2 linked regions of the Oreochromis niloticus genome follow. The protein of the gene in region 1 interacts with the protein of each later gene in a pairwise test. Links are inferred from orthologs where the notes say so. Each region holds a gene or a part of one and is shown in the gene's direction. Other genes may lie near its edges.

The links. The genes of interacting proteins can lie anywhere in the genome.
Region 2: the proteins of sgtb (region 1) and txndc12 interact in binary tests that used the Homo sapiens proteins (3 or more experiments, as listed by UniProt). The two-hybrid records come from large-scale screens. The link is inferred for Oreochromis niloticus from reciprocal best matches to the Homo sapiens genes SGTB and TXNDC12.

What each region holds. Positions count from the first base shown.
Region 1 is NC_031972.2:13,435,078-13,445,672, forward strand, and holds the start of sgtb (small glutamine-rich tetratricopeptide repeat-containing protein beta), read left to right. Parts: upstream 1-6,022; 5' UTR 6,023-6,123; intron 6,124-8,105; 5' UTR 8,106-8,118; coding exon 8,119-8,218; intron 8,219-8,530; coding exon 8,531-8,634; intron 8,635-8,772; coding exon 8,773-8,848; intron 8,849-10,519; coding exon 10,520-10,595. Other genes in the region: nln (neurolysin, mitochondrial), read right to left, coding at 1-31, 243-371, 453-639, 728-929, 1,067-1,433, 2,296-2,431, 3,104-3,264, 3,355-3,457 and 4 more. UniProt on the Homo sapiens protein: Co-chaperone that binds directly to HSC70 and HSP70 and regulates their ATPase activity.
Region 2 is NC_031982.2:25,253,358-25,263,593, forward strand, and holds the start of txndc12 (thioredoxin domain-containing protein 12), read left to right. Parts: upstream 1-5,659; 5' UTR 5,660-5,741; coding exon 5,742-5,841; intron 5,842-6,847; coding exon 6,848-6,908; intron 6,909-7,187; coding exon 7,188-7,240; intron 7,241-8,616; coding exon 8,617-8,690; intron 8,691-8,875; coding exon 8,876-8,945; intron 8,946-10,236. Other genes in the region: transcription factor BTF3 homolog 4, read right to left, coding at 346-459, 2,980-3,033. UniProt on the Homo sapiens protein: Protein-disulfide reductase of the endoplasmic reticulum that promotes disulfide bond formation in client proteins through its thiol-disulfide oxidase activity.

The sequences.
Region 1 (10,595 bases):
AAGTGGCTAAAACTGGCTGTCATGTTGGTTCCTGCAGAGAGCAGATCTTTGTTACAAATCGCTAATACAAATTCCAAAAAAGAAAAACGATAGTGTCTGTGCGCTTCATACAAAACACTGAATACAAACTACTAATGCCCAGAGTGGACTGTTTATTATAAAATGTAAATCCGCATCACTGATAGAAATTCTAATGCAATAATTTCTCAAATATATTCTAAATAGCTGAAGCTAAAGCTGACCTGGTGTAGCAGGAATACCCAGGATGTCCTGGCAGTGCTTTGCAAACACCTCAGCAGTGTCTGCACGTGGGCTGGTGTGAAGCGACTGGTCCACCTTACTAAGGACTACCTGACGTAGGTTCATAAGCCCTGAAGTGAACACATCAACAGAGACTCTTCACTTACACATAAATGTAACAGACTTTTTTGTGCAAAGTTTAGGTGTCTGACCAGTGTTAGCAACTCTGGAGGCAATCAGTTTGTCGAGCAGCTCGTCTGGGATGGAGGTACCATCTTTGTAGTGACAGGACATTCTTCTCAGAGGCTCCTTTTCCCAAACCCAGTTCTCAAGCATTTGAGACGGCACCTCCACAAAGTCTGTCTCCACCATTGTTCCGCTGAATTCTGAAAAAGCAGTCTGACGCATACACAGAAAAACTAATTTTTATTCATAAGCACACAGTATATAAATATCAATAACTTCCTGACTGAACATAGCGACTGACCTTAGAGCAGATTTCGTGCATGACATGACCAAACTCATGAAAATAGGTCTCCACTTCATGGTGTTGGAGGAGAGAAGGACAACCTTTTCTAGGCTTGGTGAAATTGGCTACCATGGCCGCAACCGGCAGCCTGCGCTTTCCATCGGGGCCTCTGCAGCCAGGCTGGAGCCCAAAGCAACCTGCGTGGCCATATTTTCCCTCCCTGGTGAAATGTCACAGTCAGGCTGAAGTCTATCACACAGATCAAGAGCTCTAGTGAATGTTAGTGAGCTCACACTTCATAAAGACATCAAACACAGGATCTTATCTTGTCTCTGAAAAAAATGACACATAATCTACCTTGGATGCAGATCCAGGTAGAACTGACCAATCTCCTCCCCTGTTTCAGTGTCCCGGGCTGAGTACAGCTTGACATTTTCATGCCACACGTCAGCCTGTTCCACCTCTGTGAATATGAGACCCAGCAGCTCCTGGTAGATACCAAACAGCCCTTCTGTCACCACATCAAGAGGGAAATACTCGATTAGTTTGTCCTTGTCCACAGCAAACTTGCGCTGCTCCACTTGATTCATGTAGTAGGGTAAGTCCCAGGCATTAATCTTCTCATCAAACTGGTAGCCCTTCATCAGGCACTCCCTCTTCTTCAGCGCAAGAATGTATTTCCTCTCTTTGATTCCCACGGGCTTCAGCGTTTCATGGAACTTGTCTGTAAAGGCAGAAAAAGAAAAACTCCTTAGTCGGAATGTGAAGCATGCAATTTTTTTGAACCTTTTGCTGTCTACTTTCTTATCTTCTTTTTAAAGCCCAAATCAAACTAACTCCCTTTGCACACTCAAAAAAAGAATATGAAAGTTGAACGTTTTTGTAGAGGAAATCTGTTCTAAATCTGCAAATGCTGAATATTCAAAATTTGTTGTTTGCATTGAAAACTATTAGTGCGGTTCTGGGTTCCTGTGTGATATTTTTTGAGTTTTGGTTCCTGTTTTGATTCTATTTATGTCATTTCTTATGTTTCCTTTCTTCTTCTTTCTGTAGTATCCCACTGCTTCCTTGTCTTTGTCTCTCTGTTAGTTCTCTTGTCTTTCTAGTTTACACTTCCTGTTTTTACTGTGGGAAAAACTTTTCTTTGTGCCTCTTGTACTTTAACCTTTTGCTTTTGTTCTGATTCTATGATTTATTCTTACTGAGCATCTCTCTGTGCATGTATACAGTCTTGTCTTTTTCCTTTGTTGGACTTGAATTTCTGTGCTTCTTGTGCTCCTTTTGTGAGCTCTGGTTTATTTCACTTTTTGAGATTAAAGACATGCTTTTAGTTGTTCAACCTGATTACAGCCACTACTAATTATAAAAAGCTGATGTTGTGTAATTTGTCATTAGTAACTGATTACATTTCACCCTGCATGTTATGTGACTGCGTGTGGAGTTGCACACCCATTCATCTGTCCTATTGAGTTTCTTTTCCTACTTTAAGGCAGTTATCAGGAGGCGGGAGAGCTCATCTTAAATGACAGGGAATGTTTGCATGTGTATGTGTGTGGCAGCGAGGTCAGATGTCAAAGAGACCATACCCAGAAAGTCAGACACGTTGCTTGCATTTTTAGCCATGTTAATCTCCAGCACATACTCAGCATGGCTACCGTAACCAAGTAAGTGTGCAACCTTCGCCCGCAGCTGTATCAACTCTTCTAAGATTGCCGTGTTTACCTGGGGGAAAAAAACGAGAGACGCAGCTCAGTTAAATCATTTAATTAAGCTTATTAAAACAGGTTTCCAGCCTGAGTTGATTCTGTGACACATTTGGTAACCAGTAGTAATATGTGGTTTCACCAAGCAGGTTCTCTGGGCTGCAACTTCAGCCCTCTCAAGACATGGGATATGCAACATTGCTTGTTTCATTAATGTGCTAAAGTGACAGCAATTGCTGATTGTATCCTTGTATGTCATTTAGACATACGAGCAGGCGACAAATTAAAGGAAAAAGCTTCCCAGTGTGGCTTGAGTAGCTACCACAACAACACCAGGGCCTGTTGTCCGCAGCTTTTTATATCACACATTTTCTCATTTCACCTGCACATGTGTATGGATCCATAGCTGTCCAACATTAATGTGACTTATAGTTATTTTTATTTTTTTTAAACTGGAGTGTTTATTGAACCTTCAGGAAACTAAAAAAATAATAATAATAAGTTTGTATCATTTTTGGTATATCCAGCATTATTGGTCATAGTATCCTTATCCTAATCAAACAAAAACCTATAAGTGACCAAAGAATCAGATTGTTAGAGGTCTTAGAAACTCATATATCAAATATGATCCGCTTGGCGTTACAGGGTTAAAATTTGGGATATAAATATTAATCATCAGCCTGCGGTTTACCTCTTTACACCTGCTGTTAAAAGCCATTTCCATCTTTCTCCTTGTTTCAGGATTATGGCACCTCTTCATCAGTGGATAGTAATGGGGATATTCCAGGGTCACTTTATACCGTCCTTCAGCCGTCTTATCCAGTCCACTGAGAAAAGTGGCAGCTAGCCCACCTGAGCAAGTATGTCACAAGAGAATCAGTGAATACGGTTAAAGCGTGGCTCTCAAGGCAGCGTTTCATGAGTTTCACGTATCAAGCTCACCTAATTCGTGCTCAGAGAAAATAAGAAATTTGCTCTCCTCGTTCAGATTCTTGTTAAACTCGATGGAGAGTTCGCTGATGAGCTTGGAAGTTCTTTTTATTTCCTTAGGAGAGAGAACACAGAGCGAAAGACATCACAGAGATTTTAATTTTTTACTATCTAATAAGATAAGCAAAGATTTACAGGCACTTTCAATGTGATTCTATTTGCTTACTTCTTCTTTTCAATTATGAAACATTGGAATTAATCTCTAAACTCCTTTAACCTGTAACTTTAACAAATGACTTCCATATTAATAATCAGATCACACATGACATTACCTCTTGTATATCTTTAGACAGGTGCAATCCTTTCCTCTGGCCCAGTGTAACAAGTCTGTCCAGGAATCTTTTTTCCTCAGCTGAAAGGTTGTCTTTCTGTTTATTCTACCAAAACACAATCATAACACTAAACATCTTCTCATACAGGTAGAATAGCAGGCATTCTGCTAAATTTATTCACCTATTTATATATTGCATGCCAGGGAGCCAGCACAGCATGAAATAACATATGGCACTGGCTGCCACTGATCAGATGAGATTACATTTCGTTTCCAGTCTAATAAGAACCAGTAGTCCTTGCGCCTCTATGATCTGTTGGCCTCTGGCTGACATGAAGTGTGAAAATAGTTTAAGATTTTCATAAATGCAGCCAATCCTCACACATTAGCCTTTTATGATTAAGACTGCTTTAACACGTCATTATCTGTGTGGCCTCATAAAGGTATCAGTTTTTACAAAAGTCCTCACTTTACTTGAAGTGAATGTGGCTCGAGTCGTACCTGCAAGGCAGTGATTCGTTTGAACACATCTTCCCGCATGTTTATCTCCACGTCCAACTCAGACAGTCTCTTTTCAGCTTCGGTGCTCGCTGATCGAAGCTCCTTAGAAGGACAAACATACTGAGGGAAGGCAAGAACGTGGCGTGATGCTAAGGGAGCAAAGCAAACAAAAACAGCGACGGTGAACGTTACAAAAATAACAGAATAATAAAAAACAACAGCTAAAAGCCTTTGTATTCCTTCCTAATGAAGACAAAAAATAGAAGAGAATAGCTACATTAGATTTCTGATGATGGTACACAAGGGCGTAAATTATTCCAATATCAATTAATTTTTTTAAAAATGTGTAAACACATATACACGCCAGAGTGACGTAGTAGCTCATCAGGGTCATGATCAATCACAGTTTGCATGTTACTGCCTGTAAAACCACAAGCGTGACCTTGACTTTGAGCACAGATTGGGTGAAGCTCTATTAGCTGATCATTGCATGTAACTTTGATTAAATTACGATAAATACTATTGGAGGAGTAATCATTCATGTGAGCTATGGATGGATGGATGGATGCCTCACCATGTTATAAACTCATCAGCCCTTGGATAGGAAATGTCACTAATTAGTTAGGAAGTGTAACAGGAAGACACCACTTGACTCCACACCACAGTCTGCTCAGGTGTGATGCTACTCTTATGCTGCAGACAGTGCTAGGAGTAATGTAAGCAAAGAAACTGCTGCAAGAACTAAAGAATTTTCACATGTGCAGCATAACTCTCTGTGATAGTATAGCTTACTGATGTTATTAACATATAGTTAGCTTGTGTATACTCATTAGCGGGATTCAAACATTGTTGGGTTTGTTGGTTTCATGGAATTGTAAACCAGAATACACCAGCACACTTACATGCATAATCCATCTTAGCATTAGCCAAGGTCATCAGGGTGTTTTCAACAGAGACATTTTCTATATTTAGGGATCCAACGTCGTCATAGACCTTCTTTACTCTGGCAATTAAGCTGTCTGTCATAGTCCTGATCTCATCTGGAGACAGGTTCCACCTCAGTGTGTTCCTCACATGCCCTGCCTGAGAGCAGTCTCTGGCAGACAGCACTGACCCACTAGCGATGGTCATTCTCAGGAGAGGTTTACAGACCCTGTAAAAAAATTGGACCTTTTAATACCCACCGCCCCCCAAAACGAACAATATTTTCTGTTGCTCCATAGTCAAGAAACCGATCAGCTCGAATAGGTGGTATTAATGTAAGCACAATCTTCATGGACACACTCGATACACTTCTTTCCATGCTATAACCGGTAATGTTTTTCCCTCGTGGTTCATCCATCAGTGTAGAGTTTCATGCCATGGCAGTGCGAGCGGAAGCCTTTCAAACGAAGTTCATAAAAGCGTGGAATAACTGTCAAGCAGCCAAAACGTACAAAAACAGCTCAGTTATCCTTAAAGTGCCAATAAGCAGGAGTTGTCACTTTGTCACTTTAAATTATTTTTAATTGTGGACAGGTGTCCGTGGAAGCGGAACACACTGCAATTAGCAATTTAAAGTTGTTGAACGTAGTTCACCAATCTGTCACACATACGTAATAAACAACCACAATTTAGTGGACTAGTCCATAGTGGACTATGTTTAGCATACCTGAAATGTGCTCGGCAAACTATAGCTGTTAGCAGATACATGCCAGCAGTATCATGCGATTTCTTTCAGCAAAAAAAAAAAAAAATACATAAAAATAAAATTAACCCGTTTCTTCCTGCCTTACTATGGCTCAGTCCCTGTAGTTGCAGCAAAGACCGGTATCTCTCCCCGTTTCTCGCGTGGGAACCGCTTCTTATTTCCGTTGTTAACGCGCAGGCGCAGAGGAGGAAGACGCGATCGATCCGACTTGAGCCCTCCTCATGACGCGGTAGCAGCAGACAGCTGGATAAGACCTCAGGTAGGTGGGCGGGAGGGGGGACACACACTGAACAGCATCCTTTAATAGAGTGTTATTTTTAAAATGACTTCGTGTTGTTTGTAGGGCTCCGAGGATGACCTCTGTTTCCTCTCCTCCTCCTGTTTTCCTGTCTTGTTTTGTTTTTTTGGTAAAGGGTTGTGATTGTTTTAGCCAGCATCACACAAGCAGCGCGCGAGCCTTGTTTGTCCGGACCGTCAGGGTGTAGGTTTCCTTAAAAGACAAACACCTGCCAGCGCCACTGGCTAAATTATAATTTTATTTTAGCAATGCATTTATTTAAAATAAACGTATAAAGTCAGTGCAGTGAATGAAAACACCCATTATGCTATTACATCACAGCTTCTGCATCACTGCATTTACGTGTGTCAACACACACGAAGGGAGGAGTAGCTGTGCTAGCTAGACTCAAATGAACATAACGCTTGGTTTCAGCACGTGACAGACGTATGAGGCAATAGTGTTTGTGTCTGTAGCATCCCTCACTGTGATTCTGTGGCCATGTTTTTTTTGCCCCAGTTTCCCCACACACTTTTTGCCTCAGTCCGACTTAGAAAAATCAAGCAGTAACTAGCCTTCTGAGGGGCAAGGCTTTTTTTTGTTATAGGCAATAAAATGACAAGAAACTGCAGATCGCCAGTATCAGTTGTAGTGCAACTTTGTAGCTGTAGAGATTTACTATCAAAATGCAATGCAGTCATTTGATATTCTCCTTCACTGCTACAGAGTCCTTAACAAATGCAAGATAACTACTGGCACCTAAAAAATAACCTGGGATAGTCGAGCCCAGGTTTATAATTAGGTCATAACTACTATCTCAGCCTCTTCTAAACCTGAAAATATAAAACGTAATGTATTGCTGAATAAAAAATGAAATGCATATATTAAAAGCACCAAAAATGTGCTCCCTAAGCCAGCTTCTTTGTTTTGAAGTAGTGCCCATTTTAATAGAGTCACACTGATACTGAATTTTTGCATAACAATGCCCGTATTGATTTTTAGGGTTAAAAAATATTCAATAATATAAACATGTAACTTGTAAATCAGAAATTAAACTGGAAAAAGGAACAGGTCATTCTTTATTAACCTTTATTAAATATTCTACATTTTTTATATACTTGTGGCAGAACAGCATAATTCAATAAAATTGTCTGATTGCTATATCAGCCAGGAAATACAGTCTTGAAAAACTTTTCACTGGACTGTATGCACTCTAGTGAAAAACTACATGCTTGTAGAACCACCTTAATGTATAACTTTGTCACTCTCTCACATTGCTATGGAGGATTTTTGGCTCAACAAATCAAATAAAAAACAAGCCAAAATCATCAGCCCACCACCAGACAGTTGGTAAAAAGTGTTTGTGCTCATTTTAAATTCAACACTCTGGTCTTGTCTGTCCAAAGGACATTGTCCCAGAAGACTTGTGGGTTGTTCACATGCAAGTTTGCAAACTAGAGAGAAGAAGATTTCTCATGGCAAGCCTTCCAAAACATTTTAGTCTTTTTCTAAGTGTACTGTCATAAAATTAAACATTTAAAATGCTTACTGAGCCCTGTAGAGTGTGAGATGTAGCTCTTGGGTATTTTGCCATTTTTCTAAGCATTGCATGGTCTGACCTTGAGGTGAACACACACCTAAATGCTCCAAACCAGCAAGCTGCAAAAGTTAATCAAGTGCATTTGATAACCCGCATTTGCCTGCTGCTTACCTTTATAATTCCTATGGAAGCAGTAGGTGTGTACTTCAGAGGACTGCATAGAGTCTGTGTCCGAGTTTGATTAAATAAGCACAATTACAGTATTTTATACTGACTTAGTTATAGTTAAGCATTATAGTTAAGCATTATTTAAGCATGTGTTTGTTACTTTTATTATGAAATGGCACCTCGTGAATTAGTAATTCAGTCACCATTGAGTGGTTTCCTTTCCATTTGATTCCAAACCCCTTCTTGTCCCTACCAGTTTCTAGGTAAAAATGGCTGTGGAAAAGCGCCTGGCATTCTCTATTGTGCAGTTCCTACGAGATCAAACACATTGTGGTACTTTGAATTCTGATGAGCAGGAAAGCCTCGAAGGTAGGTCGACTCACTGCACTTATGCCTTAGAAAGTGTCTGTGCAAACACTGGGCACTCTGCCTTGTCTCGTCCATTTCAGAGTTCTGAATCTGCACAAACTGTACATACATCATGTCCCTTTTCTTGATAGTAAGCTAAGAACTGTCACGGTAGTAAGAAAACATGACCAAAATCAGGGTTTGATAAGCAGTGCTGTTGAAAAGAATTATTCAAATGACTTGCTCTGAGCGTAGAGCCAAGTTCTGACTCAACATGATTATCCAGTTAACACAAAACTACTCTGTCATATGTTGGCTGATTCTCCAATGCAGTTGCTATACAGTGCTTGGAGACCACCTTCAAGATCAGCTCCAGTGACTGTCATCTTTCAGTGCCACAGTCACTTAGAGAGATATTCCTCAATGCCCTGCTCAAGGTGGGTAGTGCATGCTTTACAGTATTGTAAAATACACAGTACAATTATGACGACTTAATTACACCAGTGCTTTTTTTGTGTCCAGTCAGAATGTCCTGTGTGTTTATTCACTGACTCTTTTATTTTACATTTGCACAGAATGACAATCTAACCATACCAGAGAGCTCCCCATCTCCTGAAGACATCGAACGAGCAGAGCTGCTTAAGAATGAAGGTAATCTTGAAACACTTCACATCTAATTACATTAGGTTCATAAATAAATATGGTGAGCTTCTACATTATTATTATTATTATGCATGTTTTGCATCAGCTCTGATGCGCTTCATAGTGGACATGTATGCATTACCTTATTTTGTATTATTATTACTTAATTTATGATTTCCTATTATTGCTGTTTTGTTGATCATATTAAACATGGACAAAGTTTGAAATAATCCCTAAACTTCTACCTTTCTGTGTCTGTTCTTGCTTTTTGTAAATTCATCCCCCACAGGGTTTGGAATGTTTTATTGAATTGTGCTGTCAAATTGCTGTGGGTGGGGAACACACTGATTACATTTATCATCACTGGAGGCACCATGATTAGTTTCAATTCCATTTGTCACGATGTAAATGATTATGTAGCAGTGCAAGTTCAGTTGATGTTTCTCAAGTGCATTTGAATCTAATTTTGTCTTATTTTCCTCATTATCTATCATATATATACTGTTAAAGTGATGGATACTCATATTAAAAAGGCCCCATTGAGCCAAAAGCTCAGGCTTCATTCTGAACACTCTATTTCAGACAGTTTTTTTTCTGCTCTTGGCTTCATATGTCCTGCTCACAGAAGTAACTCACTTCAGAACTCTTTTGTTACTAGTGGCAACCACCCAGACGAAACCTGCTTTTATTCATTAAAATCTTTTGTGAAAGTGACGCAAAATTTATTGTGCTATTTAAATAAATTCAGACAGAGGAGGTGACCAATATTTGTAATTTTAATATATGATTTGCACCTGCATATAATAAAATAGTGTAGATATAAAAGCTGGTGGATCAGTTGAAGAGCTTATAACTCTGAAACATCTGAAGCTTGGTTAAAGTAGTATCCTTACATATTGTTAGTGTTACTTTAAAACACCCTCAGCCTGTGATCTAAATGTGGGGAGCATGTGCTTGGTTGACCTTTGCCGCTAGGGTGTGTGTGTCCTGGCACCCTGGTTGTGCTTTTCGGTGTCCTTCCTGGGGTTTGGGTCTGTTCGCTGTCTTTCGGCTCCCTCAGTGCAGTGGGATCCTATTCCTGGCTGTCCATGCTGCCCGGGTGGGACTGGAATGTGCTGTCTGGCCTCTGTTGGGTCTTAGTGAGGGCTTCAGACACTGGTGGAGGCCTTCCTGCATGTTTCTGTGTCGACATGTTGGCGTCCACTGCCACTCTGTCTTTGCTGTTGGTTGTAGCAACTTGGGGTTTCTGGGTGGGTGTGTATGGGTGTTTGCTCTTTAAAGACTCGGGTGGCCTTGATGGGAGTAGACGTGTTCTGTTGTTTCTGCTCGTTTCTCTGTCCTTGCTTGAGTGTTTAGTTTCTGGGTTTTATTCTGGTGGTTGGATGTTGGAGAGGATTGTGCATGCATGTTCACAAGTTTAAAAAAAAAAGGTGGAGGGAGTGTTTAGATTTCTGAACCTGTAGCTGGTGGCACATAAAACATGTCAATTTGCTTTCACCTACAAGATTTAAAAACCTGCCAATGCTTTTCTGAAGCCCAAGAAAAGAAAAAAAGACACCTTATATTATAATTTATCACCCTAAAGCTGAATTGTCATCCTATTTTTCCATAAGATTGACTGAATCGGTCATGAGCTTTATGTTAACTTTGTTGTTATAACTACACACTTTGTTTCTTTAGGAAACAATCACATGAAGGAGGAGAACTACAGGAGTGCAGTGGAGTGCTACACAAAGGCAATTGATCTGGACCTAAG
Region 2 (10,236 bases), on another chromosome or scaffold:
AACTGCTGTAATTATCTTAACAATATAGACAGTATGCTGTAAAGACAAAATGTATATTAAGTCAAAAAAAAAGAAAAAAAAAAAATGTGCATCTGGTGAGGGTCCCTTTTTTGTTTATGCTCTGATGTAACAAGGACACTTTATGGTATGCCCATTTGCTGAAAGCTCCCTAAAAATAAACTGGAAGATGACATGACTGCGCTTCACTTAGGCGCCCCCCCGTCTTTCATCCTTTCGTATGCCGCATGACATAATGATAAAAAATTCAGGATCCTCAGAAAGAAACAAATCAAAATAGAACAGACAGAGAGTAACAGTAGCATTAATTTCCCTTTGATGGCTCACCTCTTCTATCCCTGCGATGTTGTTCACTGCCAGTTTCTTCAGAGAGCCCTGCAGCTTTTTGTCGTCAGCTGTTGCAGTTTTGTGAACAACCTTTTTCTTCCTGCGGGCCGTTCCCTGAAGGGGAAAAAAATGGATTTCATAACCGAGTGAACCAGAATGTCAAACATAGTTAAGGTCACACGCGTCATCCTGTCATGGACATAAAATTACCTTCACAGAAAAAGACCTGTTTTTATTATTATAAATGAGTGTCTCATTCTTCCCATCTCAGAGTGCATTCTTCAAGACAATTACATTAATCTATAAATACTGTGGCTCAGGAGGCAGAGCAGTTGTCAGGTAATTTTCAAGGTCAGCGTCTTTGGTAAAGATTTTGAACCCCAAATTTCCCCAGAAGCAGCTGCACTGACACAACCCACAATGATTGTGATTGGCTCATTCATTACCATCATTTTAAATAGAAAAAACAAAACAGATTAACTAATAGAAAATGGAGAGCCTCCATTGGCCACTAGTACTTAGTGTCAAAACTGCAGAGCAGCAGCGCCGGTACATCCACAAACAGCTAAAAATACAGTGCTCCATTTGAAATGGAAAGTTGGAAATCTTGGAATTTTCAGCTGAAAGTTAGGCTTCCCACATGCACCAACATTGTGAGTGTAAACAGTAGGAAAACTGAAGAACCTGCCATGTGTACAACCACTGTTGTGTATTTGTCACTGGTTAAACAAGCAAACACAGAGAACCAAACCTTTTCATTAACATGTTGCGGCGACATGCTGTGGCGTCATGCTGCAGCAGTGGCGGCAATGGCAAAAAGACAGAAGGCAGGGCTGAAGATGCTAAGATTCTCACTGGTAGTGATCAGGATGGACAGGATTAGAAATGAGTACATCAGAAGGACAGCTCAAGTTAGAGAGGCAAGGCTGAGATGGCTTGGATATGTGCCGAACAGGGGGAGTGTATATATTGGACAATGGATGTTGAAGATGGCACTGCCAGGCTGCAAGAAGAGAGCAAGACCACAGGGAAGATTTCATGAATGCAGTGAAGGCGGACAGAGAAGATGCTAGGGATAGGGTGAGATGGAGGCAGGTGATCTACTATGGCGACCACTAAAAGGAGCGGCTGAAAGTAGATGACGACAATGTCTGGAACATGCTTGACTTTAAATTTAAAAATCTGTCCAGTTAGGAAGAACTGAGCAGTGTACCATAAAGACAGACATAATGAGTTCGCTTATTTTACATGACTGGTGCTAAACATATAACCTAGTCCAAAGGAGGTTATGCACGTTACTCAATCTCAAACTGCTGAAGAAGAAAATTTATCCCACTGAAAGAAGCCGAGCAGTATAATTAAAGTAGAATTGGTGCAGTCTCAGAAATGTACCTGAATTCATTTAGAGATACAGAACACACATTTTGATGCTTGGTAATTTTATACCAAGTCTGTTTTACAGTGCCAGCAATACAGCTAATAGAGCATAAGCCTATTTCCAGGCTAGTTATCAACAGGCAACAAAATCAAAGGAAATGTTTTCACTTTGGAACTAAGATAAACACCACGTCATCTTCATTGGTATATGGGAGACACACTGAGTAATGTGAAGATTCAATGTCACATTAGAAACAAACAGCAGCACTCAGCATGCACTGAGTGACAACATAAACAAACATATGAATTCACAGGATTTTCTGCAGCACTGCTTTCTTTACTTATATATAACTGGATTAAGAAAGAAAGCTGCCAACCACGGTGGTGATACTGGGGGTTTTGCCAAGCTGTGTAATGTAAAGAAATCCTGTTTATGTTCACAGTGTCACAGCACAGGTCACTCCTCTGGACAAGTACAATTTTTTTTAAGTACCCAGACAAAACACATACTTTACTGTACACCATGTGACCTTCCATGTGACCATATTAAGCAAAACATGGGCAGTATTGATGCACTAGTAAGCAAAATATTACACCCAAAAAAGGGAAGTTATTCCAAAAGTTAAAACTACGCTGCTCAATTGAAGCAAATAGAGTTACAAATCAAACTTCTGTGATGGCTGAATTATCAGAAAGCTTCCGTAGGTTGAAGAAAAGAAAACAAAGAAAGGTGCTTAAGCTGTGTGAGATACCGGTCGCCTCCTCCACCCAGTGAGCTAAAGTAGTGTCCACTGACCTTTATTTTATTTTAAGCAAGAGCTTTACTCACACCCAAATATTTAAACTAGACATTATCCATCTATATTTCAGCACCATAAATTCATTGTGATGTATACACAGAAACAAAAGTCTGTTGAGGGTCACTCCAGTTTAAAAAAAAAAAAAAAAATGTTGAGAATGCCGATGTGAGGTTAAAGGAATTTCAGAGCAAGAAAAACAAATAACGCCACCTAGTGTGTGACTGAAAGCCTCACAATAAATGTGAACAAAGCCAGAGAGCCAGAGATGAAGGGGGGCACAGTTCTGCCCTCCCCCAAAAAGGGAATGCTGAGGTCAGGAGGAAACACCTGACCTCAGCTGAATACCATCACACCTTGAAATGAGCAGGAAAATGAACCCAAGAGAGTTGAATCCATAATGTGACATCTGTTAAGTTACCATAATTAGAATAAAAGAAGAGATCCAGCAAACTCTTACCTTTCCACCTATCCGGACCTGAGCCTGAAGTTTAGCGAGCTTCTCTTGATTCATAGTGTTCTGTTTTGAAAGTTAAAGAAAAACACACGTTTAACATGATTTTATTCCCATGCTTATCAAACAGGGAAAGAAAACAGTTTTTGTTTTTTTCAGCTCTTAAAACCACCATCTGCCTAAGGAGCGCCGCATGTGGCTGCTGAAATACAATAGTCCCAGCATGAGCTACAATAATCCCCCAAAATAACAAACTGGAAATGAGCTGACTGACAATCTGATCGTTATACTCAACCTGCTGACCATTATACACTGAATGTGATGAAGAGATATATCCGGGCTTTGTCGTTTTAAATTACATCTACGATAACTGCAGCTAGTTAGGCTGCTAACTAGTTGAGTAGCTAAGCTAATCCTAGCATCAAGCCAGAAGAAAGCAGCTGAACGCACCTGCTTTGGTATCGACAACTAAATTTAAGCTCAAATCCAATGATGCAAACAAACCAGCGCAGATGTCTGCCGAGAAATACCCCCCAAATTACCTGCGGTAATGAATTTGCTGACGGTCAGTTGTACTAGTCTCGATGTTAACCACCCAGCTTAGCTTAAACTATCATTAAGTCAGCAGCAATCATATACATTTCCTGTTGGGATTTTCACTATAAAGTTTACATAACGCCCGTCAAACGATGTTATATAGCTTTTATCCAGATGAAAAGGACATAAATACAAATGTTAAAAATATCTCAAGTTAAATTTAAACTTAGATTAACTGACATATGTAAATATATTGTATATTTGCTATATTTCGATGTAGTTCGAACTTTTATTTTGGCGCGACTTTCCGGTGTTATATTAGAATTTCGTCGTCTAGCTTCACTATCTGACAAAGCAGCGAAGAGCACGCGGTTATGTGGATGTGATGTCATATGACCCGCCCCTCCAAAAGGAAAATGAATCACCGTTGGCCAATAGTAAAACGCGGACACACACGCGCGCACAAACGTGCACGCCCACAAACACAAAATGATTATTACAAAATATGAAAGTTTTAGGGAAGTTTACATACATTCGTCACGGACATTAATGTCATGGTAATTTGGGGCTTTTCATGATTTTTTCGATTTTTTCTTTATTCAGGTTGGTATGACTGGACAATATCCACCTTTAATTCATTTAAATAAACAAGAACTGTGTGCACAAGTTTGTGTTTATTTTGGATTTTCTCTAACCCAGGGGTATATATGCACAAAATCCCATTAATGATTGGTTAAAATTGCATCTCAACCGCTGATATTTGACCAAAAAGATTGGTCAAATATCAGCGATCGTGGCTCAAGAGTTGGGAGTTTGCCTTGTCAATTGGAAGGTTGCTGGTTCGAGCCCCGGCTTGTGTCCTTGGGCAAGACACTTCACCCGTTGCCTACTGGTGGTGGTCAGAGGGACCGGTAGCGCCAGTGTCCGGCAGCCTCGCCTCTGTCAGTGGTGGCTCGCCCAGGGTGGCTGTGGCTACAATGTAGCTTGCCATCACCAGTGTGTGAATGGGTGGATGACTGGATGTGTAAAAGCGCTTTGGGGTCCTTAGGGGCTAGTAAAGCGCTATACAAATACAGGCCATTTATCAATCTTTTTGGTAGATTTGGTAAACTTTCAATTGGTTTCCTGGCACAGATTCGGCTGTTAAGCATAGTCCACAAATTATTAATAGAGGTTGAAGTTGGGGTTTTGGGAAGGCCATTTTAGAAGCTTAATGTTAGCCAGTGTACCAGTACCACTGGCAGCAAAAGAGTCCTAGAGCGTAATGCTACCACCACCATGCTTGACCAATGGGAAAAGTGTTCCTAGGTTTAAAAGCCTCATCTTTACTACTCCAAACATACTTCTCATCATTGTGCTCAAACTGTTCTCCAGAAGCCATTTGGTTTGTCCATATGAATGGCTGCAAACTCCAGTCGAGCCCAAAGGTGTTGATTTTGAAGCAGCACCTCTCAGACCATGGTGATGTAAAACTCACTTCACTGTGGACAGTAACACTGATGTCCCAACAGTTTCTAATTCATGACAGGCTTGACCCTTGGTTGTGCCTGGGTTGTTTCTGACCTATCCTAACCTGTTTCCTCTGATCTGAAGGTCACAGTTTGCGTCTTCTTCCAGACCTTGGAAAAGTGGTGACACGTCTGGAAGCTTGTAGTTGTGTACAGGTAATTGAAGTTATGATCTTGGAATCTGCAGTTGTTTCAAAATGGCTCCCAGACACCTTCCCAACGTTACACACACACACACACACACACACACACACACACACACACACACAAATGACAGCAATTTTGCGTTTTTTTTTTACTCTCAAATACAATTTTAGTAACAAAACTTTGGATTTTTTTTCTTGGAAATAACTCCACCCAGTTTCTTTCTTTTAGTATTTTTTTTTCAAGAAAGAAAGAAAAAAAGAAAGAAAGAAAAACAGAAAATAAAGTCAGGAAGAATTTTAACATAAATTTGTCATATAACAATAATATATAATTTTGCATTATAAAATGTAGTTTTTAACTTTGTGAGGGTTTTGTTTTTGTTTTTTTTGGCTATTGTTTCAGGCTATTGTTTGTTTTATAATTTTGTTTCCTGTGCACTATTTTGTAAAATCCCAACTTTCTCAATGGGGCTCTTATTGTGAAACGCGGCTGTTATACATCCGGGTCACTTGGCTAACTATCAGTCACTGCTGTTAGCTGTTCCCGTCCGCAGTTTGACAAGGAAAAGCACTCAAAATGCAAACCTCTCTGCTGAACTTCGGCCTTTTCTCAGTTTTTCAGCTTTTAATCTCTTTATCGTGTTTCCAGGAGGTTGTGCAAGCCACCAGCGGGAGAGGTGAGTTTAAATCTGGAGTTAATGATTGATTTAAAGCAGGATCTTTGTGCAGCTTCATTGATAGTGTCACCAGTGGGAGAGCAAAGCAGAGCAGAGCCAGATGTCTTTCATCCTGAAACCTAATATCCGTGTCCTGGTTTACTGAGCAGGTGTATGCAAGTGTTTCTGTCGGGCAGACATAATTTGTAGTTTTTCTGGTCAGCTTAGCCGAGTTGTTTTATAGCTTTAAGTCCTCTACAGACCTGCATTTAACGATTTCTTCATTAATACTGTTTTAACTTATAATTATACTCACTCAAAATAAAATGTTTTTCGCCAAGCACACAGGAAAATGAGATATATGCTTAAATAAAATATCCTTACATGAATGTAGATGCATTTTGATTGAAAAAAAAGTTGTACAATATGTATGTAAATAGTAGTGGGCGTTAAAAGAAACAAGCTAGTGAATGCGATTAAAGTTTAGTACTGAAACAAATATTAATCCATTGATTGCATTCTTAATTATTCAGAAGTACCCGAAAAGAGTAGAAAATAAAAAGGATGTTAAATAAAATTTTTTGGTCTTATAATCAAACAGCTTTTTCTTCTTGCAGATTTGCCAGTTTATTTCTGATAAATTCGCCACATTTTAATTCTCAATTTGCCCATTTTTTCTTACATCTTTTTCCTCATAAATTTTCCAGAATTTAATTTTAATAGTTTTTTCTTTTGTAAATTTGCCACTTTATTTTTGTTTATCTAAAATGTATTCCATGCTTATTAATAGTACTACTAGTAATAAGCTACTACTACCTTTATTACTGGTGAAGTAGCTGTATAAAGTACCTTGTTTCAGCCCTGTTTGCTATAGCACAATATAGTATCAAATAACTTGCCATTCAGTTGTATTTGTTTCCTTGTACCTCTATCTATTGATTGAGTATTTAGGGCAAACACACCCTGTTGTGCAACACAATACCAGATACACAGTGTGGGTGTGCTTATTGATTGTCTCTGCCTGCAGGATTTGGTGATCACATCCACTGGAGAACGCTGGAAGATGCCAAGAAAGAAGCTGAAGCCAGGTGAGCAAAAATATTACAACCACTTCCTGAAATGCTGCCAAAGAGCCTTTTGTGCAAAGATTAGCCTGAGGCAGCTGTTTAAAAAAAACCCACGCATACATCTATTTTTGTCCTGGTTAGAGGAGCAGATTGACAAGTTGTCAACGAGCGGGTGTAGTTTTTCATATGTTGCAATTTCAGGCTTTAAAAACATGGAGCAGTGTGAGAAGTTTTCAGTTTTGGAACAGCATGAGTTTAATTTTGGTTTTGATGCACTTTTAAATGTGTTTAAATTAACAGCGGGCTGCCGATCATGGTCATCATCCACAAGAGCTGGTGTGGAGCCTGCAAAGGTAAAATAATGTTCCACCGTTCATCTTGCAGAAACTGTCTGACTAAAAATCTGTTCTATAGAGTAAAAAAACGCCAAATTAGGTGTAATTAAAATCATGGTGAACATTATTGAGTTTAGTCGATTGACATTACTTTGAAGAGAGAATCAAAGCCAGACATGTTGCATATTTCCTGCTTAAAAATTATTTTATTTTATTACATAAAACATTTAAAATTTAGACAAGCTGTCTGAGTCATAAAGGCATAAAATACTGTACACGTGAAGCTTTTATGATCTGTAAATTTATGTACACGTAATAATAGTAGGCTCCCTATGTTGAACAACCAGGACAAGGTGTTGAAATTACGCTTACACCTTTTAAGATATCACATGTTTTTGTAAGTGACTGGTTCACTGAGTGTTAAAATGTGGACATTTGAGAATTTACTATGTTAAACTTTAGATGTGTGGCTCATGAACTAGAATGAACATGTTGTGTTGTCTCCGAGAACAGGTTGTTGTATGGATACTTTAAAAAGCCCCTAAAGGGCTGCTTTTTTAATGCAGGGCATGTTGCCAGTGGTTTAGCAGCCTGCCAGAAAGCTCCTGAAAACCTGTAAGGTAGCAATGCAGGGATCCTTAAACACCTGAAGCTGTACAGATGCTGTTGGGCCTTTTTAAGTCGCTTATGTCAGGTGTTTGTGTATGTGGACTCCCATGTATTTAAATCTGTGCATCCGCTCAAACCCTGGGGTCTGTTTACGATGAACAGCCAATCAGAAGAAAGTCACCTTAAAGGTAGATGAGCTAAACCAGCTTCTTTCAGACAGAAGATGAACTAAGGAGCTAAACAAGGATGATTCTGAACTTTGAGTCATGCAAAGCCCCTCTAGTAAAGTCCAAGAATGACAAAAGCTGGAGATGAGATCTATCTACAATGCCTGAAATTGAGTTTTATATTTGTTTAATTAACTTAGGATATTGCTTAGCAATTTAAATGTTACAGAAAATATATTCATGGAAAAATATTTCTGTTGAAAGCAGAATCAACTGTTTTTATCAGCTTTTTTAAATGATCCAAATCGTAGCTACAATGTTGTTGTTAATCAGGAAGCCCGTCTTTGGATCTCAGCCAGATGTGTAATGTGGAAAGGACAAACAAAGCAATCAGGAAATGACAAAAACCGGAAGGGTTGTTGGAAAAAATTAAGTGACTATTTTCACTAACAAGTGAAATGCAACATGAGAATTCAGCAGATCTGAAAACTTGGAAAAAAACTGAAGAACAACAGAGGCTTTTAATTATTTAAGCCTCTTCACCGTAAATATAAAAGCTTTTTGCATTTGATTGTGTGTAAAATAACCTCTTTACTATGTTGTTGTTTTTATAATCAGCACTGAAGCCCAAGTTTGCTGAATCCAAGGAGATCTCTGAACTGGCACACAACTTTGTCATGGTGAACCTGGAGGTGAGGATATATTGAAAGCACCTTAAAGCCGCTGCTTCCTGTATTTTCTGTTTATTTCAGTGTATTGATGTAAAAATATCATGTTTGTGCTCCCTTTTATTTCTTGTTTTATCGTCATGCTACAAGCCAGAATTGACACATTGGCGGTTTTTGGATTTGTTTCCACTAATCTCTCATTTTACCAGGATGAAGAGGAGCCAAAGGATGAAGCCTTCACCCCAGATGGGGGATACATTCCTCGGATTCTTTTCCTTGGTAGGAAGGCGGGGGCGTAATCAGCCTTGATGTACACAGCTTTGAGGAGTGACTCCTTGTGCAGTTAGTGGTAGTAGTAATAGTTTTCTGGTCCAGGTTACATTATATTATCAGAAAACGGAAAGTTTTCAGAACTAAAGGCAAAGTTAGTATTGTTATAAATAATACAATGAAAAGTTTCTAAACAACACTGTCATACCAAGTCTCGTCCAGTTCTCTTTGGGAAATGTTTAAAAAAGGCCTAATGGGCAGGTTGAACTTCCTGCAGCTCTACACATAAACTCAGAAGTTTATGAATGAATTGTGTCGTACTTTTATGCACTTATTTGCCCTAAAAAGAATAATTTGGCCAGACATTCCTTCCGAGAGGACATAGCAGATCTGAATCAGAGGTTGACATGACCCTGTTGTAGGTCCACTTATTAAAGACAGGCTGTAAAAGGTGTGGAAGCCATCCATAAGTCAAAATTTATATGGAGAGAAATTTGCCTCAAAAGTGTTACAGATATTGTCCAGAAGCGTGAACTAAAATTTACAAACGTGTGCAACTTTTGAGGATTCAAAAATGCGCACTCCAATCCACACAAACGTTTTAAAAATGTGTATATCCAAATTATCCTCAAGCTAAAAGTACAGGCAACATCCCTTGCTTACTTATAAAGCCTTAAATGCGTGTGCACAATTGCCTGATATGCACAGATCATGTCCCAGGCCCACCTGGGATTTTTCACGCTGAAAGCTTCGCACAGATCCACAGACTAAGTTGCGTTCAAGTCTCAGTGTAAAATTGGGACATCTTAGTTTTATACTTGTGGATCATAAGGTATGCATTTGTAACACTTTTAAGGCAAATGTCTCTCCATAAATTTCAACTCAAAGTTTCGACTTAACTCAAATTTCAACTTATGTTTTTAACTTTCAGTTATTTTCTTAGTAATTACATCAAAAATTTGACATAATGATGGGAAATTTTGTCTTATGGATGGCAAAAAATGTCTCTTTCCCTTTTAGTGTGCCTTGATCATCAAAATGTTGAAAGCCGGTGATTTAGACAGCCAGCAGTCTTTATTAGTTTATCCTGCACACACAGACACACGTTATACTAAGAAAAAGCTGTGCGCTGTGCTGGGAACTGCCCAGCATGGCAGGTCTCACCATGCTGCTACATCAAAGGAGAAGCTGATTAACAGATGTATGGCTACAACAGCTGTGCTGCTCAATGTCACTGCTCCTTGAGCTACTCTGCCCAGCCCTACACCACACTGCACCACCACCCAGACCTTTCTAATAA